Tamandua tetradactyla: one gene and its partner. The protein of the gene in region 2 purifies or fractionates together with the protein of the main gene of each other region. This does not show direct contact. Links are inferred from orthologs where the notes say so. Each region holds a gene or a part of one and is shown on either strand. Other genes may lie near its edges.

Region 1 (8,072 bases), on a different chromosome or scaffold from region 2:
AGAACATTATACAATGAAATTCAGTCTATAAGTCCCCATCAGGTAATCAGGCTTTTTAGCTGTCAATCACCAATAAACACCTAAAGACTGACATCTGATGTAATCCTCCAACATAAAAGTTAGAGACCAAAAGAAATGGAAAAAAAAAACAACTTAGAGGAAACAAACTCTGAGAGGAGAAAACAAGTTGTTTTTTAAGTAATGTTATTTCCTCAGAAATTAAAGATTTGCAAACATGAAACAAGAACTCTATACTATATAAAAACGAAATTTTAAGAGAATAAAGAACTCAAAATCTTTACAGGAAAAATGAAAACTCCAGCAGATGGCTTAGGAAATAAAATCAAGGAAACCACCCACATAAAATACAGCAAAACTACTAGACGAATAATAGAAGAAATATAAGAAAAAAGGAAACTAGTCAAAGAGGTCCAACCAAATAATAGAATGTTCAGAGAAAGAGAAAGAAAAAGGAGGTGACAGAAATACACTGAAAAAATAATTCAAAAAACTTCCCACACCTGATGAAAATAATTTTGTAGATTTAGAAGACATAATAAATGTCCATGAAAACAGCACATCCTATGAAATTTAAGAATACAGGATATACAGACTTCCAGAAAAGAAACAAACATTACACAGGAGCAGAAATAAGAATTATCTTCAGAATTCTCAAAAGGTTCACAAGCTAGAAAACAATTGAGCAACACCTTAAAAATTCTGAATGAAAAATATTTCCAACCTAAAACTGGTCACCCAATCAAACCAAGTGGGAAGGCAGAAAAAAGGTTTCCACAAATGCAAGGTCTCAACCTTTCACAGGAAGCTACTGTAGGATATACTCCTTCAAAAGGAGGGAATAAACCAAGAAAAAGAACTGCATAACTCACAGAAACAGACTTAACACAGGAGAAAGGCAAAGGGAGTCACCAGTTTTATGATAAAGGGGGAAATTTCAAAAAAACTATTATGTACCAGATACGGAGGGCAGGTTCAAGCAGCTTCAAAAACTGGTAGATACCGAAAGTGCAATTCTATTCCCAGTATATATACACCCAAAAGAAAGGAGCATGTATATCCACTGAAAAACTTAGGCAAGAATATTCACAGCAACTTTATTCACAATAGCCCAAAACTGGAAAACAAGCCAAAAGCCCACCAATGCTTAATTTAAAAGAAGAAAATTGTAGTATATTCACCCGTAGGAGTATTACCAACTGCTGCTACACCCAACATCATGATGAATCTCACAAACACAATGATAAGCTAAATAAGCTATCCACAAAAAACAGTACATATTGCTTGCATTTGCATTAAATTCAAGAACAGGCAAAAGTAATTTAATTCTCACCTAGTGACAGGTGAGAATAGTGGCTATAGGAGAGGGGGCATGAGTCTTCTGCCGCCCTGGAAATGTTCTAAATCTTGGGTGATGAATATACTGATGTCTTCCCAAATTGAACAATTCGTTGAGCAATATATTTACATTTTGTACTATTTTCTCTAAACAAAGTTAGAGAAAACAAGCTTTTTCTTTTAAAGAAATTAAGGAGATTTTTAATCCGATTCCACAACAGAAATTAATCAAAACGTCAAAGTCAAAGGAAAAACAAGAAACCCAGCAGCGCAAAGCATCACTCAATGTCTAACAAAGCATTCCATCTATGGTTCAGGTTTTACATGGGCCTCAAAGCACTGGGAAGATCTGGGCTAACAAGTAATACGTGGAGAGATACAGCAAAGAATTTAAAATTCAATACATGAACAAACACAACTGTGCACAAGACTTGTACACCCTGTAAACTGTATTTACAGATATTAGAGTTAATTCCTACAAATCACAATTTTCCCAAAGAAAAAAATCCCAGAGTTCTGGGTCAAGATGAAATGAAACTACTATTGGTTAAGCAATGCAAACCTACTGAGTAATCTAGCTTTAAGGGGATGCCTATTTAAGAACGGTCCATTACTGACAACTACAAAAAAAAAAAAACTTTTCGTTGAATTATTTCCCCCATTTAATCTGTGACCTCGCTGAAAAATGGGGGGCTTAATAAATCGTTAATGTTTTTTCATAAACCTATCAGAGTAAGATTCTTTTTTTAAATCTTGCAATACCTACCCGTTTTGACCAGACACTGAGATGCTTTTCTCCCCTCCGAAAATGAGGTTAGAAAATTCTCCTTTAAACCCTTTTTATTCTTTCCTAACTAACGGTTAGAATTTTCGGTGACTTCAATTCCTCAGCTCGACATCAGATAAGCGCCTATAACGTTACCTTCAGCTCTTGCACAACACCTAGCTTCCCAAGCTTCAAAGGGCGAAATTAACTTTTATGGAAATACATTAGGAAAGGTTACAAGACCAACCTATCAAGATAATCTTTTAACGGATATATTACAACTCAAGTCAAAATCCCGCAGCCCGAGCAACTCGCGAATGGAACTAAGGCTGGTCCGAACCATCAAAAAAAAAAAAAAACCACCCAGATTTCCCGAGGATGAGGAAAGCTGCTGGGGGTGGGGGAGGGAGGAGGGGCCGTCCATATGTCCACCCCTCAGCGCCCGGCCCGGCGCCTCCCCTCCCCTCGGCCGGGAGGTGCCAGCCCCTCCCCCGCCCGGCCCTTCTCCATCCTGTCCACACCTTCCCCGCCTCGGTTTAGGCACACGGCAACCAGCAGGACTTTCTCTAAGAAGGCAAGCAGGCTGGGAAGCGCGCGCCGCACAGCCGCCCACCCGGGCCTCGCAAGGGTCGCCGGCCGGCGCGCTCACCCCGACGCGGTGTCCCGGGGCCAGACAGGGAGGCCCGAGGGGCGCGCGGGGCCGCGGTGCGAACGCCCAGGCCCGGCCCCGCGGGCTCCCCGCCCCCCTCCGGCTGCCCTCAGCTCGGAGCCGGCAGAAGGCGCCGGGGCTGCTAACTTCGCCAGAGAAGAGGAAGCGACACGGCGAGTCACCAGCCGGGCGGACACACAGGGGAGGGAGAGAGATGCGGCCTCCCGGCGTGGCTCTGCCCCGAAGCCGCCCCGCCTCGCCTCGACTCACCTCTGCGGCGCCGAGGCCGCTCCAGCTCCCCTGAGGAGCCCACCAGGACGCCGCCGCGGCCGCCGCGATGGCCGTTACGGCACGAGGCCTGCGCTCCGCCGCCGCGTAGCTCTTGGGAGAGGGGCGGGGCGGGGGCGGAGCGCGCGCGGCCGGCGGGTGGGCGGGCGGCGGCGCCGACTGGCCGAGCACTTACCGGCGGATCCGCCCCGACAGGAAACCTCGCTCTCCCAGCGGGTCCTGATAGGCTCGCCCGTTCCCTTCTCTCCAGCCCCTCCCTCGACGGTGGTTGGTGCCGCTCTAGGATTGAGCAGGCCGAGCTGTCAATCAAGCGCTGAAGTGGGCGTGGCGGGAGCTGAGGCTGCGCTGCGACCACAGGCCAGAGGACTAGCGGGTGGGCTGCGCTGGGTCGGAGTCTCTCCGCCGCTGCTCCCCGGCTGCTGCAGCTGACGATTTTGAGCCTTGCTGCTCAGCGCCCGCAGAGCCACTCCGCTGCAAAAAGTCACTGCTTGTGGAGTTCAGCCCCAGCTGCTCTGAGAATTTACTTCCTCCCTGGATTTTGTCCCTGAGGATCTTGGCAGCTGAAGGTTCCTGGGGGCGGGGAGCGAGCAAAAGGGCTAGGAAATAGGTACATGGGAGGGGAAAAAAATGCAAGCTATATGCTTATATTTGGTCCATAAGCCGAAATGAGCTGGCGCTGAGGGCCTTGGAAGGGCAGCTTCCAGTCTCGCCTGGGGTAATCGTTCTCCGTGGCCAGTCCCGGCCACCTGCTGGGTAGGCAGTATTTAGTTCTCCCCCCCTTCCCCCAGCCCTGCAGGCCCTCCCCAGCCCCCGGCGACATCGGCCTAGTTCCCTGCTCCCTCTCTTTGTTGCTCAGTTTAAGTGTTGCTTCCTCCGAGAAGCCTGCAGGCTTACGTTACCTTTCTCGGATTGCAGATCCGTTTCCCAACAGAACTGTAGTCCTTGTTCCCATCTAAACTGTAAATTCCCTTAGGTCAGGAACTATGTCAGTGTCTGTTCAGCTTTTCCCCAGGGCACATGAAAGACAGCGGTAAATATTTGTTTAAGGCGTTAATGCATCTTTCCCTCCTTTAATCCTGTCCCTGACTAAATCCCAGGGTCATGGCAGTTATTTGTATTTAACGATTCAACTACAAAATGATCCGTTTGCGTGCTGATGTATGCATGTGGTTTGCCTGCCATATGGGGAATCACAAGGTCAAGCACAAATCGCCTGTAGTTACTTCCGGGCCTCAAGTTGGCTGCGCCAAGTAGACCGTGAAACACAGCTGGCCAACAGCTACTCTGTAGCCACATTCCATTATGAGCAACCGAATCAATAATGCAAGTGAATTTGGGGTTTGTTCTAAGGGTCTGAGTAACTTTGCGTTATCATGTCATGCTATTCTTACTTATTAAAAGATCTCATAAGGTTTATAGCTTGAGATAGTAATTCTCTCATTTTTGAAGTGTAGAAATGATTATCTAGATGTTAAATGATTTGTCCAAAAGATCACACAGCAAACTGTTAGGACCTGACTCAATTCAATTCTAGTTACGTGTTTAACACGTGAGGAGGGGGAGAGGGGTGTAAATTCAAAAACTGGTAAAATAGAATCCTAACCTTCAGGTAGCTTATACTGATATCTGAAGCAGGGAAGATAATCCCAGAAAAAAATATGCTCGAGTCATACATTTAAATTTAATTTTGTTAAGGGAATCTGTCTTTTGAATGGGCCAGTAATCTGAGCAGACCTTTCACAGATTTCTTAACTTGTATGTCAGTTATTTAAGCAATAGAAGCAACAGCTGCAAGGAAGGGAGAGAGCTTAAATCTGCTTTTTCATAGAAGGGTGTCAGTTCCCTATAAACTTAACTTTTTCCTTTAGTCTGCTTCATAACACATTCTTACTAAGAATGTTAAAAATATCTGAAAAAATGTATGAAAAAGAGTCAAAGTAGAAAAATAAGAAAACAGCCAATTTTCTTATTGAAAACTGAAATGAAAGAGGAAAGCATAGAGAGAAAGGATAGTTAGGCAGAAAATCATCTATGAAAATTTCAGTTTGGTGTACTTAGAAGGAGGGAGTTGTCCCAGAGACCACCTTTTGCACACTCTCCCCTACTTCCAAACATATACAGGCACATGGCTTATCTCTGTCAGTGGAATGCGAACCAAAAACAGGAATCATCTTTGCTAATTATGGCTCAGTGGAACAGGGACTAGCCAGAATTAGACAACAACAAAATTTAGGTAAAGACTAATGACTTGTGGACTGAAGGTGGGGTTTGGGATATGGGCAGATAACTGTCTAGAAACAAAAACAGGTAGGTGACTCATGTCATTAATCCAAAAGGATTTGGGAAGACAAGGAAGGGAAAAATGAGCCTCCATGTTCCAAAGCCTTTCCTGGGAAACTATAGATAGCTTATAGTTATAAATTATTAGAGAGAATGATAGCATCACCAACAGGCAGGAATGTTTAGACCAAAAAAGCCCTATCAGCAAAGGTAAGTAATTAATCATAGGCTCAACTGTGATGTATCAAAGTTAGTAGACCCTGGTAACTAAACAATGTCTGAATTAAACATTTTCATACTTTTATGGGAATCTGTTCTACACACATTGATTGAGGGTCCACACTGTAGTAGGTACTATAACAAGTACTGGAAATTTAAAGCTCAGTCCCTGCCTTAAAGGAGCTCTATCCATTTCAGAGAATGCCATACAAATATGGCATTAATGCAGTAAATACAATAGATATGTCCAGAGGGACATAAAGTCAAAAGGCAGCAAAGTTGTGTGATCAGGCTAGTCGGTCAATTAACTAGGCAGAAAAGAGAAGGGCATTCCATGCAGAGGGTCCTGTAGGGGGGGAAAAGGGGGATTAAAAATAGAGTATTTCTGGAACAGAGGGTGACTAGAAATGTAATCAAAGGTAGGTCGTTGAAGATCTTGTTAAGTAAAAGACCTTACACCTCACCCTATAGGCATTGAGAAGCCATCAAAGGGCTTTCTTTCAGTTGTTTAAATGTCATTCCATTGTTGACTGTCCTCCACTGTATCTAAGTTGACTGTAATTGTAGTTCTTATTATTTTTCTGTATGTCCTAGTTCTTTTTTCTGGCTGCTTTTAGGATTTTTTCCTTGATCTTTCTTTATTGGCAAATTATGATGTTTCTAGGTGCAGTTCTCCCTGTGTTTATTTTGTCTAGGGTTCACTGAGTTCCCTGGATCTGTACGTTGCTGTTTGTTTGTTTGTTATCAATTTGGAAAATTTTTGCCCAGTAGTTCTCCAAATTTGTTTTCTACCTGATTCTCTTCTCTCTCCTCTTCTGGGACTATAGTTTCACTTAGCTAGGCATTTTAGCTAAGTATACTTAGCTCTGTTCACTTTTTTCAACTTTTTCTTTATGTTTTTCAATTTGGGTAATTTCTATTGAGATCCAATGTCTAGTAATCCCTGAAAAATCTGAATGTTGACATTTTCCCAAAGCACAAACATACTACCAATGGCTGTATTCCTTTGGAGAAGGTTTGAAGACATAACCATCTCAAGATAAGACCATACAGAGTATTTAGTGATTACAAGATAGGATAACAGAGAGTATTTAATATTGGGTGTAGATCAACTAATAAAGCAAAAAGGAAACACTGATGTAGCTCACAGGTGATAAGTACAGGGTGAAGCTTCCACTCCTCAGACTTCTGAAAAAGAAGAGGTTGGACGATCAGGCCTTAGAAGCTTAGAGGAATGGCCCCACTGAGCTGGAGCTCAGAACCTTGAGGAGGGAAACTGTCCCACTGGTCCTTCTGTTTCTGAGAGGGATAGGAAGCTAGTTTGGGGGTTGCCGAAAGAAACTCAAGTCTGGAACCAATTGCTGCTCCTGCGGAAAGGATTATTGCTTATTGCTGGGGTAACAATGACCGGAACTGCAAGCAAACAAAAAGGAGGAAGTCCCTTCTCTGCCTTCCCGGCTCCCTCTAATGCCCATTATTGGTGGAACATAGTGAAACACCAGGTGACAAAGGAAAAATGTAGCTTGCAGAGTCTAAGCCATCAACGAGCAAAGTATAGATGAGTGAATTTGGAGCTGAGAGACAATAATTACCAGTGCCATATCAACATTTGTGCTAAGATAGTAATAATGGCCCAAAGTAAGAAAATACTACCTTATATACTTTTATACATTTTAGATCCATTTTAAAAGACTCATATAAATTTTGCAATACTATGATTACTATTACTATCTTTTTCAGGGTTAAGGAGTGCCTTTACTTGCCACAAAATTAGAAAGGGCATTTTTGGAAGAGAGATATACAGCTGAAGGCGCCCTGCCCCAACATAAGGTCTCCTACAGTCAAGTACAAAATAGCATGGATTAAGTAGGGCTGGCAGGAATCCAGCCTTCTCCCTCCCTCCATTTCTTAATGCATTGCCTAATGCATTGCCTAACGCGGCCACAGCAAGGGGAAGACCAGTATCCTGTTCTAATCTAGGACAACAGTCATTGTCATTGAAAACCTAGCTCCTTTCCTTGTTCCCTCTTTCTTGCCTCAACTCAAGTTCCCTTACTCCAGTCTTATCTAGTTTTCTAATGCAAGTAGATGACAAAATAGGGCTTGATATTCAATATTTCACCTTTTAGCGTACTATTCACAAAGGAAGATTTTTTTTTTTTTAACACAGGCAGGCACCGGGAATCGAACCCGGGTCCTTGGGCATGGCAGGCATGCACTCTTACCTGCTGAGCCACCGTGGCCCACCCAGAAGATTTTTAATATTGAAGGATTGTTGCTAAACATTTGTAGAATACTGCACATAAAAATTATTCTACTTTAAAAAAAATTTTTTTTTAATTATTGTACTTTTTGAATGCTCAGACTGTAGATCTGAAAGGGGTCATTTTTTCAAGGCTTGTATTCCTTAATGATGAAAGTTAATGCTCTTCTTCTCCCAAAGTTTTTGTTAAAAACAATAAAGACACCAGTGATATTTCACATATTTAATATTTGTATTTGAATATATTAGGT
Region 2 (7,778 bases):
CCACAAGCCAAGGATTGCTCCAGGGATTGCTGCAAACCAGCACCAGAATACGCCTGGCTTTGGGGAGAAAGTGTGGCCTATTGAGACCTTGATGTGGAACTTGTGGTGGGCAGAGTGTGAGCCAATAAATTTTTGTTGCGTCAAAACAGTAAACAAAACAAAAAAACTTGATAAGCAGTAGTTTCTTAAAGGTTGGTTATGATCTAGAATTTGAAACCATACCAATTAACTTTTCATATTCTGATACTTTGAATAAGGATCTTCTACCTGTGTATGATTTTAGAACATGCATTGATCATTTAGAAAATATCATTCACTGAGTTATGTTGACACTCCAAATGATACATTTCATGATAATATGTCAGAATATCAGATCTGTAAATATCACCATCATCTCTTTACCACAGTGGTGGGTACAAGTTATACAAAATTCTAATTTTCACTTGAAAGCTCAAATTTTATCACTGGCAACAAATTCTATCAATTGTTTTCCTTGAAGAGACAAGTGTCCATATATTTTTCAGAAAATGTCTGCCAAGGACCCAACTGTGAATAATCATAGTTTGTCTATCAGTCATCCATTCAAGCAGTACAGGAAAAAAACAGGTAGTACAGCTTGTGATTCAAACAATCACCCACATGCTTTTCCTAGAAATAACCAATGGATTTCCATACAAAGTAGAAGTGCTTTACACATACCTCTCATTTTGTCCCACATAACATTAAAAAGACATAGACTCAAGGATCAAGAATTAATAAAAGTAATAATTTTTGCTACTTCATCAAAGACATTCTTAAGAGAAACTTTTTTTTTCTTAACTATGGGTACAGGGCATGCAAAATACTATGGTTATAAGTACAGTTAAGCGCCACTCACTGCCTTGATTCATTCCAAGGCACCTGCATTTTTTGCCATATTAGTGCAGATGTCAACACAGTGAAAGAGGCAAGTAACATCTTAGCATTGTATTAATCTGCAAATAGACTTAACCTCTTGACCCCCTCCCTGAAGTAGTAACAGAGACATCTAGGGGAATATGCTGTTCTATACTAGGTTAGTTTCCAAAAGTGAGATTACTGGGTCAATGGTATGTACATTTTAAATTCTGATAAATTCTTCCAAACCTCTCCAAAGAGTCTAACAATTTTCACTGAGACTGCATGATAATGACTAGTTAAAAGGTAAACAACTCACTTTTTAAATCCTGAATTTGAGAAGTACCATAAAGTAACACATTACCATATTTGCCTGTCTATAACCAATGCTAAAATATAACTACGTTTCAAGGCAAAGTAAAATCCAGGTAGGTACCCAGATTTTTTTAGATGAGGTAAATATTTTTCTGTAAGAAAGAAAATATTCTGTAGCTGTCAATTCCAAGTTCATTGAACAGAGGCCTTTATTTACTTGTGCTGATCATTTATGATTGAATTTCAAAGTGTATGCCACTTGTACATATCTTATATTTGCTTACAGGGTGGGTGGGCTCAATTGATATTTTGATATAAAGTATACAATCTGAAAAATGTCAGGTTGCAACAGTACAAACAAGGCTATCATTAACTAGTTTAGATGTTACAGACATCAGTCTAAGCTGACCCTTAGCTTTAACTCCACATGGCATTACTGGAAGAAAATAATACAATATGTACTGTCAGCACTCAAATGCCAACGTTATGTTCATAAAAATGTCAGACAACATTTTTTGCCCAAAATGTCATTTAAAGAGAGAGAGGATGATGAAAATTCATTCAATGGAGAAAGCTCTTTCAATGTAAGGTAAATTAACTAGTAAGTTTATATCCTCAATTTACAAAGAATGCCGCTTCTCCACTCCATTTTCCCCACATAGCCCCAAAGTGAGTATTTTCAAGTACTACTTATGACTGAAAAGGCCAAAGGTACCCGCATCAACTAGAATCTGTGATTCTTAATCTTTTGGGGGCCACACTTTGAGAACGTGATAAAAGCTTACTGTAGATAACTGTACATACATACACACACACACACACACACACAAGCACACCCAGAACAGTGTGTGCAGTATTAAAGGACCCAGGCACCTCAATGAAGAGCCCACGTTTTAGATTATGGCAGACTTTTACAGAACTATGGATCCTAAGAAACCACAAAAGTCCAACCCCCTCAGGAAACTGAGGCCCGAGAACAGTTGCCCAAGGTCAACAGTAAGTAAGAAGGAGAGTCAGGCAAAAAAATGCAACTCAAAGAGAATTTGAACAGGCATACAGAGTCACGAAATAACTTATACAAAGAAAGTTCAAACAGAAACTAAGAGGTAACTGCAGTAAAAGAAGCTTTAAGCAGAATTGGAAGGAACTGGCACAACACTACTGTTCAAAAGTTCCTTGTTGGACTAAACTAAATGCATAAGGAAAAATGACTTCAGAAGTCTTGAAAAGCACTCACCATGTTCCACAAAAACATTGCAGTGTGGGCCCCCATGCCTTGATGATTCCTTCTTGCCTGCTCCTTTGATAAAGGGCAAGGCAGGCAAACTTGGCCTTCTCTGGTCCCCAAGAACTTTTCCAGGCTGCTGCCCCATAAAGTTACGATAGGCACCCCTTTCCAGAAAAGGGTTCAAGATCTTCCAGAATGGTCAGTGAGTTTAAAAGGAAAATAATATATATGTGGGGTTTCACATTCACTGCATCCCCACAAGTCAGTTCATTGAGGTCAATCACAAAAAGACATCTTCCAAGACCCAGTGAAGTTCGGTTTTTAGGTTGATTCATGTAAACAGGAGTTCCAATTACTTTCGCAATCAATTTGAAGTAATGTAATTGTAATGCTACTGAAAAGTTTCTTTAATTTGCCTTTTACTGGCTGAATAACAATTTCCTTCTTTTCAAGAGGAAAACCCTAAATGGAAATATTCACATGGGATGCTGTAAAGGGTCAACATCATTGAAGTCATTTATAGTCCCACATATAATGAAATGTAGAACGTCTTTAGATGGTCTTCCAGAACTTTTCCTGTGGAAGTCACCCACCCTCTTATCTTAGTTTCATCATCTTTCACAAATTTCCTGCCCAACTGGCTGCTGCTCCGGCTTCTGCTCTCCGGAAAAGGACACGGGTCACCCAGATTTCAGCAGGGGCTTGCCCTCGACTTTGTCGAAAAGGAATGCATTGCCAGCAATTTTTAAGTCCGCTTTTTAAAGGGCCTGTGAAACCAATCCAGACTTTTCCTTCGCATTAACGTTTTTGGCTGGGCTGAGACTAAAAGGGCCGTAGGTGACATTGGAAGAAGTCAGGGCATCAGGGGCTCTCGACAGCAACCTGGGGGAAAGGGGTAACCACTTGACAGCAAGGAGAGGATGTGAATGGGGGTGGGGTGGGGGGGATCCGCGGCCAAACTTGAGGCCGGGAGTAAGAGCAAAATGCGGCTCAGGGTAAGGGGGAGGCTGCCGGGATGGGGCACGGGCGGCTTACTCCGGGGCGAAGCTCTTCCACGCTTCAGGAAACGGGGTGTCCCAGGTCTGAGGAGCAGAGACCACCCACAGTATCCCCGAAGCCGGGGCGAGGCTGTAAAGGACGAAGACCCTCGCGGCCCAGAGACAGGTAGCCGGCGGAGGGGATAGGAGGCCCGGCCACCTCAGCTGCCCCGAGCCTGAGGGGCTCTGCTCCAGACACCCCCTCCCCCAGCCCCGGACGTCGTTATTCAGACGCTGCGCCAGGCAGTTACATGCCCTGATCTCCGTCGCGGGACCCAGCCTCCCCCGCCCCACACCGCCGAGAAGGGCCGTCAACAACGGAGGAACTCCTCAGCAGCAGGACCCGGGAACCGGCTCCGGCTCCAGCGCTGCTCAGAGACAGACACCGACCCCCGCGGCAGCCATGATGGATTACGAGCCGCTCCACAACGAGGCCAGGCCCCGCCCCTGACCCCGCCCCCGGCGAAAGACGGCCCGCTCCTCGTGGTGATCCGATTGCCCCTAGCGCCACTTTTGGGGGAAACCGCCGCGCGTTCTGAGTCTGGTGTCACTGCCTGCTAGGGTCGGGTCCTGCTGGACCTTTAAAAAGAGTTTTTTTCTGAGCGCAAGGTGAGTGGTAAGGAAGCACCCGCCTCCTCTGTACAGTCATTGGTCCCCAATAATGCGGGTCAGTCCTCTCGCCTCCGTCCCATTGGACAGTGAGGGCAGTAAGGCTAGAGCCCTCAGCCAATCGCTTTGGGCGCAGCCTGCAGTGCATGCCGGAAGTTGTGGTTCCGTGGAGCGTGCTCGTGTCTGACGGCGCCCGAGACTTCTTGTCCTTTGCTCCTGATTCCTGAGCTTCCGCCCCGCCCTCCTGGGAGCCTGTGGACTCTCGCCCGCCTAGTGCAGGGCGAGCAGACGTCTCCCCTTCGCCATGTAGTGAGATTGGCGAAAAGCCAAAGCAAGGGAAAAACTGTGGATCGGATTTTTACAGAATCGGAGTTGGAGTACTTCCTTGAGCGTCTTTAGAGAAGATTTGGCTCCTGAAAAACAGGCTATTTGGAGCTTCCTCTCCCCACGCCCCACATCTCCATCTTTTCCCCTAAGAACCATAAAAAAATATTAGAACAGTGAAGAAAGGCACAGCTGGAAAGCATCCGACGTATTGCTAACGAATTGTTGGAGTTATCAGAAGCCTCACAACAGCATTTAAGCACCTCTCTTGAAAGCTATGCCAGGCGCATAAATGTTTGAACTAGAATGAACCTTTAAGATTAAATGACCTCAATTCACAGCTGAATATGTGTTCACATAAAAGCATCCCCCAAATTAGCGGAGAAAATACCCCGGGTTGTTGGGTTTAATAGGACTGCAGGGCTAATCACTGACCCAGACACACCAAACTCACATCTGTCATACCCGTCTACTAAAAAAGCACCTTGTTCCCCTACCTATTCTTTGCTTTTCACCTCTCCCCAGAGTGGTGCACCTGTGATATATCCAATTCTAAGGGTATCCACTTATCTCAGGGCCTAATCTACACCTGGCACTGTGCTAACCACTCTTCATAAACTCAAGTTATCTCACTTGAACACTCACACTAGCCCAATGAAATATGTAGCTGTATCCCCTATTACAGATGGCAAAACAAATTCAGAGACATGATTTACCCAAGGTCACTAGGCTGGTATGGAAAAAAGCCAACTTTTGAGCTCAGAACATTTTCCATTGTTATCATCCAGTATCAAATAACTATGGACCTAATGTTAGACCACGGAGTTTTCAGATGGTGCTACTAATATCAGAATAGCCTCAGTATAAATTCTGTACATTCACCTGCCATATGTGGGTCAAAAATTTAGCATCATGAGTTATGTATTTTTAAATAGTTCTGCTGGATTGGGAAACGGGGTTGACTTTATAGATATTAAAGAGTCACTTGAAGATACTGAACGTGAGGCATATGAAAATGTACCCAGATATACGTGTAATTTACAAACTCAGATATTGATTTAGCTTTGCTCACTCTCACAAAATAAACCATGTGGCTGACAAATGTAGTACTGATTTGTAGTCCAGCAATCTGTGGGTCATTCTTCAAACTTCAATGCCCTTGGTTCCCTTTACTTCCCCAACTACCCTGTCCTAATTACCACACACAGTTTTTTGAGATTTTGCTTTCTTTCTACTCCTGTTCATTCCTTAATCAATTCCTCCACATCTTCCCTCTTCATTCTCTGGTTTAGCTCAAAATTGGGCATTTGAATCAGACCTCTTTCAAATACCACATTCCTTGAACTAACAAGCCATTCACCATTCAACAAGCATTTATTGAGCACATATTATTTGCCAAAAACTGTTGTAGGGGATACAGCAGTGGAAAAAATGATTTATTTTCATGGAGGATACATGGCAAGACTACGCAATAAGCAAAGTAAGCAGCAATCCAAACCAACAGTCTTAATAATGGAAACTAAATTTCTGGTCTGTAACCTTTCACAATTAGTCCAAACCTTCCTTGAAGAAGTGCTTTGATATGTCTCTAGAGCTTAAATCTATTCCTGATTCAAATTGGGTCAAGTCACTGATTGTCTCTCTTTACCTATAAACGAAGGTCATATCTGCTTCCTTTACAGGATTATCAGAAGAATTAAATTAGACCATTCCGTTTTCCACATAAAAGACTGAGACGATGCTTCATGACTGGCTTCATGACTGTCAGTGTATAGGTCAATTATACTTTATCTGAAAGCTTATCCCTAATCTCTATTTTCCATTGTTTTCTAATTTTAGGTAAGCCCCAGACCCAAACTAATTTTTTCTAGAGATGTGGTGTATTTTCTTACTTCCTTTATAACACTGTAGAATGATACCTTTGAAGACTCAGAATCCAGAGTCCAGCAAATGCTTGACAGAAATGTTACCAAATGTGGAATAAATCAAGATCAAATATCCTTTTCATTAAAAGTGATTCAGCTCAGTCTAATTTTGTACTCACTTTTATATAACTAAGTAACCCACCAAGTTGCTAAAGGAATCCAGCTCCAGTGTAAAAATGTCTGCTTATCCCATATTTTACACCTACTAGAGATCTACTTAACAAGGGCGCCCTCTAATGGACCAAGAAAGTACCTAGTAGCCAAAAAGGTGCTCCAAACCTTTCTATTACTTTCACTTAGCAGACAATCACCATTCAGCAGATAATGGATGGACACAGGCATTTGAGAGAGAACATGTGCTAAGGATAAACTTTCAACGAGCTTACTATACGACCCTAGTCAAAACCAAACCCAAAATTTACACTGGCACTCTCTCCTATTCCCTTCTCTCAAAAAGCTTAAGATCTGGAAAATTTCTCCAAAATATGCCAAGTGAGAAAAATCTAAGCTAGCTTATTTGATTTCTGCAAATGGTGATACAGCTTGAGAAAGAAAAAAATTGAGATTAAAAAGTTGTCTACTGAATAAGATAAATGATGAAAAAGAGCTGGTCGGTATTTTAAAACCGTCAGATATCGCGTTTAGTTATCTCTGAACCTGTCTTAGATTCACGTTTTACTAGGTGACTTAAGGTAGCTAGGGCTTCTGTCAGAAGGAATTTAGATCACTAAGTCCTCCTTCTACTGTACTCAGCAACCAATTATACAGAAGACAAGAAAAGATACCGATGGTATTAACACAATTATAAATATAAAAAAAACAGTTCACCACATATGTGAAATAAAACAGCAATCTTTTACACAATGCCTTCCCAACAACCTAAACTAAGGCACCAGTTTTAGTCATCAGTAAAGCAGTAATGCAGAGGAATTCTAGCATTCCTAGGAACATCAAAACCTTGTTTTTATCTTTTGACACTAAATTAATTGAGTTAATGCATTACAACATAAATTCTAAGAGGAAAACAACTACTATTTTCCTATCTCCATTTTTCTTACTTTGTTTTCATGTTTTTAGCCTCTGATGAATTAAAGAAGCACTCAAAAGTACAGAGACTCAACATTCATTCTATTATCAATAATTCAGCTTTATGGATATACTTGCAACTATCAACAGACTGAGCATTCAATGGGAAGTTATATTCAAACCAAGCAAACAGCTGCTTGGTTAACCTTATTCTTCCATTCAACTGCTGGGTTAACTCTACCAACTGTATTCTTCAAATACAACTGGATTGTTGTACTTGTACTTTAAAGGAGGTGGGAACAGAGGCCAAAACAGACAATTTAGGGGTCAAGGATGTCATGTTTTTTATAGGGGCAATTTCATGGGGTATTGTACATTCTGAATGATGGTGAGTAGAAGACAAAGGATTCTCCATATTATTCTAGGATGGACGTCCAT

The links.
Region 1: the proteins of ABL1 (region 2) and NCK1 purify together in Homo sapiens (affinity purification with western blotting; 3 studies listed by BioGRID). This does not show direct contact. The link is inferred for Tamandua tetradactyla from reciprocal best matches to the Homo sapiens genes ABL1 and NCK1.

Annotation. Positions count from the first base shown.
Region 1 is NC_135341.1:80,872,124-80,880,195, reverse strand, and holds the start of NCK1 (SH2/SH3 adapter protein NCK1), read right to left. Parts: upstream 3,149-8,072; 5' UTR 3,042-3,148; intron 1-3,041. UniProt on the Homo sapiens protein: Adapter protein which associates with tyrosine-phosphorylated growth factor receptors, such as KDR and PDGFRB, or their cellular substrates. Maintains low levels of EIF2S1 phosphorylation by promoting its dephosphorylation by PP1.
Region 2 is NC_135328.1:53,605,791-53,613,568, reverse strand, and holds the start of ABL1 (tyrosine-protein kinase ABL1), read right to left. Parts: upstream 3,152-7,778; 5' UTR 2,565-3,151; coding exon 2,429-2,564; intron 1-2,428. Other genes in the region: uncharacterized protein LOC143672591, read right to left, coding at 3,165-3,263. UniProt on the Homo sapiens protein: Non-receptor tyrosine-protein kinase that plays a role in many key processes linked to cell growth and survival such as cytoskeleton remodeling in response to extracellular stimuli, cell motility and adhesion, receptor endocytosis, autophagy, DNA damage response and apoptosis.